2 linked regions of the Schizosaccharomyces pombe genome follow. The gene in region 1 interacts genetically with each later gene. Each region holds a gene or a part of one and is shown in the gene's direction. Other genes may lie near its edges. The genes, in order: SPOM_SPAC688.12C and jmj2.

Region 1 (3,054 bases):
GTGCATATTCCTTTCATAAAAAGTGGAAATTCAAGATGGTTTTAGTAGAATACTTTAGTAACGGGAATCACAAAAATTTTTTTAAAAAATATTTTATCCTAAGTAATAAATAAACAAAAGAATTTTGCTAAACATGTTCAGCAAAGTGTTAGAAATTTTTAAGATAGAGACATTAGGTGGACAATATAAGAAAAAAGTTCATGAAAAAGGACATTATAAATAAAGTTGTATGCAAACGCAAGCATTTCCACACTAGTTCAGTCAAGTTTCGGGATTTAGTAAACGAAACAGATAAAAAACGAACCTAAAGGTTACCAATTCCAATGGGAATAGCCAGTAATCTCTTATGCACTTATTTAAGGTGATTGTGCAGGTAACTCTAATTTGTCAATAAACCGTAGTGCATGCGTTCAAGTTACTTTCAAAAATGCTTTAGAGTTACTTGAAATTTTTGTAATAGTATCCTCAAAAGTCCAGGACTTAGCTTCTGACATAACGTTCAAAGATTGTCGAACTAATTCATCGATTTGGCTAGCACTGTGATGATCACTCTCTGCCAATAGCTTATCGTCGGGAACGCCTTTAAGTGTTTGAATAAAATTTTTATAACGACTATTTATACCTATTGAAAAAGAGTAGTAAAACTCGGTCGGAACTTTATGGGCTGAAAACTGAGAAATTTGCTCAATGCTACCAGAGTAGCTATGAAGGCAAATTTTGGGAGGGTAATGCTTTCGTTCTTCAGCAAGAGAATTTTCGTACTCTTCTTTCTTCATCTTTCGTATTTTCGTTTTGGAAGGAATCCAGCGACCATCCCAAAATTTAGCTAAACTGCTATACAAAAGAGCATACGTCTGAACGCAGTGAACACTAACAGCACGTTGGAATTCTGCAGCAAGACGCACTTGTGCTTCAAACACTTTACATTGATGTTCCATTTTTACGTAAAATGGTGATAGAGGTCCTTGAGGAAGTGAGGACCTTGCATCATATGGGCCAACTGGCAATCGAAATGGCTTATCCAAGCCGATTTCGCCAATGAGAGCGTTTGGGTACTGTTTAAGATGTCGACGAGCGTCCTCCAAAAATTCTGAAATCGGGACTGGGTTGGGAAGAGCATTGATAAAATCTTCATCAGGTATTGGAGTCAATATTTTTTCGTAATGCTTCTTTTTTCTCGTTTCACTACTTTGCAAATCTTTATCCAAATCATCGTACAAATAATAAGAAAACCATGGATGTATCCCAAAACTAGGTATTACTTTACCAGGGTATTCTTTCGCAAGTTGTTCGACATACTTTTGATCTGTCGGCCGGGTTCCCATTACTATTAATTTACCAACAGAAAGATTAGCAACCAAATGTAATTCTTGCGGTGCATCAGTTGGATGGCAATGAGCGTCAATGATAGATTCCATAATGATATTTGTAGTTAACAGAATGCTCTCTGCCCACCGTACTTTAAATAGTTGGGATAGGGAGAGTAACGTTGGAGTTGACGAAAACATGTGTATGCTAATGAAATTCAACAACTTCATTCGTTTCCCCATTGTTTGGTAATTACTTGATGACATAAAGATAAAACTTGAATATTACAGTCGTCTTCAATTTAATTAGTCTACTGCAAGCTCAAGGGCAGATACCTATTTCGTTGACTAGTTCCTCCATGTGACCACCTTACCAATAATATTTTCAAATTTATTTATTAGTGTTAGCGTCTAGGTAATTTGAGAACATACGATAAAATACATCTTGAATATCTGTTTATGGGAGAGGCAAATTATTCTATTTTTTGTCTGTAGTACCACATTTTTCCTAACCTCCACCCCGACGGTTTCATTCACCATACTTTGATCAAATTAATTTGGAACGAACGGTTCTTCTTTTATATCTCCTATAATAGAAAATAAATTACAATGAGTGAAGAAGAATCTCCGTATCAATTGACAAAGACTTTCTCGAATCCGAAGAATAACAAAATTGGACTAGCTATTTTCCTTATTGGAGCATTTATCAATTTAATTCACATTTATAAGCCCAAGGGTCCTTCTAACAATCCCACGAAACGGAATTATCATATTTCATTTGGACCCCCTGGTAAAATTCGATGGTTTCCTTTGGGTATTCGTAAAGAAGTTCGTAGCAATGTGTCAGGCCGTGAGATCATCATTAAGATGATAATCACATTCATACTTGTTCAGACCACATTGATTACTTTAGATCTTTATGTTTTTGGCGCGACTGGTCTAGGTTTAATTCTTTCATGGAAACTATTCGAAGTTGCTTGCGCAAATCCTGAAGATGAGGCTCTACTGGCTGAAAGAAAACAGCGCTTAAAAGAACAACGAGAAAAGAAAGAACAAAAGAAGGAGCAAAAGAAAGAGAAAAAAACCGAGAGGAGGAAAAAGAAAAAGTTGTAGAAAAATAAATCTGGATTATGTTTGTTTTACTTTAAGAGATATAGTGCGGTAGGTTAGCCATTCTGCTTTGATCATTAGTATATCAGTAGGATCTACAAGTGTCACAATATGTAATGGTATTTATTTACATTTAAAATTTAAATATACTAATACTGCCTATTGGTCGGAAAAGAACGCAATGTATTTATCATCCCGTATCGACCTAGCAAAAATAGAAGCACTAATAGCTGAGTATTTAAGGCTTTCCAAAATTAATTCATAAAAATAAAAAGGATCGAAAAGACTTAATTACTCTTCGGCAACATGATAAGATGTTTTTCTCATATCAAAAAGACGACGTCGGGCAGCGACTAAATCATTTTCCAACTTCAAAATTTGCACCTGTTGCTCAATTTCTTTACGACGATATTCATGAACACCCAATGAAGAGAAGTCTTCATGCTGCACCTCTTTAGCTTTGAGAGCAACAGACTCCACTTGACGAACCAATGCCTTACAGGCCTCCGTAACAGCTTTCGCAGCATCCTCAAGATGATCTTGAACCTTAGAGGCGAAATTTGCTTTTACACGAGAGGCTGCAACCAATTGTGCAGTTGCGGCGCTAACACCATTACATGCGACAATCAAATGCTCA
Region 2 (3,937 bases), 1.3 Mb from region 1:
AACTTTTGATTTCATAGCAAGATTTTAACCATTCAATTTCTTAGGAGGACTTATATGTTCGACCCCAATTCCGTGGAAAAGGATATGGAAGCTACTTACTGTCTTATTTAGCACGAGAATCACTTAGAATTGGTGGCAGACGTCTTGACTGGGTTGTAAGTTGTTTATAACCCATTTCTTTTTTTATACCTTGACTAATACCCTAGGTCCTTGATTGGAACCAGAGAGCCATTGAAGTCTATGAAAAGGCTGGAGCACAAAAAGTTGGAGGATGGAGTATGATGAGAGTCACCGGCGAGAACCTAAAGGCTCTTGCTGATAAACTTCCCGGCAACTTTTAAACTCATACCCAATACTTAACGCTCTAAAAAATTGAAGCATGATATGTTATACCTTTGAAACCTTGAACTGGAAAGAGGAAAATTAATTTTTTATGATTGAAAGATCCTGGATCTTGTAGTTTCGTTTTAAAGCGGTCATTTCAATGTCTTTAGGTTATTTCCCGTTTACCAAAAAATACGATATCAATTTACATCTTACATTTTTTAAAATTAAAAAATAAAGAATCCTTTTTTTTGCAAAGTAAATTATTAGAACTGGTATATTGTTCTAATGTTAATTCCTATAAAACTAATTTGATCGTTTTCCTTTCAATTCATCAAATCGGCTTCTTATTGTGTATTAAAAAATAGAAAGAAAGTATTGGTTAGTATTCTTGAATATCTTTTATTGTGTTTCTTTTTCGAAACGCGTCGCGCGCAATTGTAAACAAACCAACTACCTACAACAGTTTGCCTGTCAATGTTTCAAGGAAAGTGCGCCTTTTTTGATGAAACCGTACCTTCTGCATTAATTGCTTTATGGCGTAAGTTTTAAAGGTTTGATGTGCACTTGTTTGTTGTCGAATGATTTATGGTTCAGTTGTTCTTACTAAAGATAGAATTACACAACGGAGAAGCGAAATTTTTAGCAGAAGGTTATGAAAATTTTGATTATGCATTTTCAATGCATCTAAGAAAGCACGTCCGCTTGCCAAATTACAAATCAGTTCAATGTCGTTCTCCTTGGTGGATTGCGGAGCAAGTAGCTGTTTCCAGAAGGTATTTATTAAATTTACTAAATATTGCATTGATAGTTTATCTTATCATTTACCAAGGCAAGTACTAACCACCATTATTAGCAAAAGTTACGTTTCTGAACCTGTCATTCATTTGAACGTGATGGAACCTTTATATGTTGATCACAGAATACGTTCAGTGTATCTACAGCCTCTGCCATCCACGCTTTCTTTTCTAAACGGTGAATTACCTTGAAATGCTTTGGTGCTGATATGGCGTTGTTCCGATTGTAAATTCTATGCTAATTGTGAAAAATACCTTTCCTTTTTCTATCCTTTATAATTTAATGATCGTTCCTTTAGCTCTCAAAATCGTCAACTGAAGTTGTCACAACCTTCACTTAACCATACGTTACGAATATTAATTTAATGCCTATTTATGCTATTAGCCTAAGATTATTTTCGAATTTTACCTAATTTCTTTATTTATATCCCATAAAGACACTTACGTCTTTTCAATGGACAATTGAACAAGTATACATTGCATAAACATAAAAAACTTACTTCATCTAAGTCCGAGTTTAAAAACTGTTGTTTCCATTTATTATTTCTCATTTACGTTTCGTTTCTTTTTTATTCTCTATTTTTTAATTCTTTTTATAATAACTTTTTTTTTCTGGAATCGCTCACCATTCGGACTAATTTATCTACTTATTTGCATAGGAAACATGAGCAAGTCTACTTTTCATCAAACTTCCCCATCTTTTGTACAATACACTCATGCTACAGATAAACTAAAACCTGCACCTCATGGGATGAATACGCGGGGAAATAACTTATCCTCTATGTCAAAAAATACCGGACAAAGAAAACAGCGTTCCAAATCCATTCATGGACTTCCAGTTGCTCCCGTTTTTTATCCTGATAAAGAGGAATTTCAGGACTCTATCGGTTATATTAATAAGATAGCTCCAATCGGTGAAAAATATGGTATCATAAAAATCGTTCCTCCTGCTGGTTGGAATCCACCGATGCAACTTGACATGAACAAGTTTTCCTTCCGTACTCGGCGGCAGGATTTGCATATGATGGATCTTCGATTTCGTGAAATAGTCTCTTACGATGAACGCGTTTACCGTTTTTTTTGCAATCTGGGCATGGAGCTCCCGGAATCATTTTTTATTTCCAATACGTCTATCGACTTATACAGCTTAATGCGTTGTATTGATTCTCATGCATCTCTAAGTGAGAAGGAATTAAAAGTTCATGTATGGAAAAGGATTTTACGAGAACTTTCAATTCCTTTTACTAATGCATCATTAAAGGAAGCAAGTGACTTGTATTTAAGGTATATTTTTCCATTTGAGGATTTCGTCAGAAAATATCAGACCTCTGAGGATCAATGCTTTGAAACTGATCTCTTCCCTAAATTTTTTACAAAAGACGAACATTCTAATATTAGTATTAAAGATCAGAAGACATCTAAACAATTTAACCCCGAAACTAATGAGTCCGTAGGAATTCTTCAAAACCAAGAATCCAAGAGAAATGAGCAGATTAAACAACAATATATGCCAGCCGATAATTTTGGATCAAATGATAATCACTCACATAATAAAAAGCGACGATTGAGCTCTCTGTCAACGAATAACAACCACTTATGTGACAATTGTCACAAACCTGTCAATTGTGAAGTCGAAGATACGTGTAAAGAAGCGTATTGTACTAAATGTATAATTAATCCATATGAGTTTGGGTTTGAAACAGGGAATTATTATACTTTATCGAACTTTGAAAAATACTGTGACAATTTTAAGAAAAATTATTTTTCTAAATTTAAAGACTCGGAGATAACTGAGGATATTGTTGAAAAAGAGTATTGGAAACTCGTAAAAGACAATAATACAAGCCTTGAAGTGGAATACGGTGCAGATTTATCAACCCTTGATCAGGGCAGCGCCTTCCCTAGTTTAGCCAAAAATCCAGTGAATCCTTACTCTAAGGACACATGGAATTTAAATGTTATAGCATCCACAAATGGTTCTCTATTAAGCTATATAGATAATCCTGTTTCAGGTATAACCTGTCCGTGGCTGTACGTTGGAATGTGTTTTTCAACTTTTTGTTGGCATGTCGAGGATAACTATACTTATTCCGTAAATTATCAACATTATGGAGACACAAAATTATGGTATGGAATTCCAGGTGATCAAGCCGAGAGGTTTGAACGCGCCGCTCTTGATATTGCTCCTGATTTGGTAAAAAAACAAAAAGATCTGCTTTACCAATTAGCTACAATGATCAACCCTGATGAGCTACAAAAAAGAGGTGTCGATGTTTATTTCATCGACCAGGGGCCTAATGAATTCGTGATTACCTTTCCAAAAAGCTTTCACGCAGGAATTAATCATGGGTTTAACATTAATGAGGCAGTGAATTTTGCTCCCAAAGATTGGTTACTAAACGGATTCTCTTTGAATGGCGTTTTGAAATATCAGTCACTTCTTAAACCTCCTGTACTTTCACATGATATGTTGGTTTACAATTTAGCGACAAATCCGGCGTCAGAGATAAGTGTGTCTGAGCTAAGGCCTTGGGTGCATGAGGCTGTCAAACGTGAATTAGGTATACGTATCATGATACGAGGACGCTATGATTTAAAGGAAATACTTTATCGTGAATTAATGGAGGATGCCGAAAATTGGCAATGCCAGCATTGCAAAGCATTTTCATACTTCTCTCAAGTTGCTTGTTCTTGCAAGTCGATTACTGTATGTCCATTACACATCGAATATCTTTGCAAGTGCGATTTAAGCAATAAGACCTTACGCCTAAAAGTCGACGATAATGAGTTACAGAAGTTGCTAAGTTATTAAAGTT

Evidence for each region.
Region 2: mutations in SPOM_SPAC688.12C (region 1) and jmj2 together harm fitness more than expected from each alone (negative genetic interaction), as found in Schizosaccharomyces pombe (one large-scale study listed by BioGRID).

The regions. Positions count from the first base shown.
Region 1 is NC_003424.3:3,138,088-3,141,141, reverse strand, and holds SPOM_SPAC688.12C (uncharacterized protein), read left to right. Parts: upstream 1-1,817; 5' UTR 1,818-1,916; coding exon 1,917-2,420; 3' UTR 2,421-2,468; downstream 2,469-3,054. Other genes in the region: scn3 (TatD DNase family Scn1), read right to left, coding at 411-1,418; clathrin adaptor End4, read right to left, coding at 2,709-3,054.
Region 2 is NC_003424.3:1,804,646-1,808,582, reverse strand, and holds the start of jmj2 (histone demethylase Jmj2), read left to right. Parts: upstream 1-1,785; coding exon 1,786-3,933; 3' UTR 3,934-3,937. Other genes in the region: SPOM_SPAC1002.07C (N-acetyltransferase Ats1), read left to right, coding at 45-155, 207-341; bouquet formation protein Bqt2, read left to right, coding at 802-865, 941-1,100, 1,181-1,313.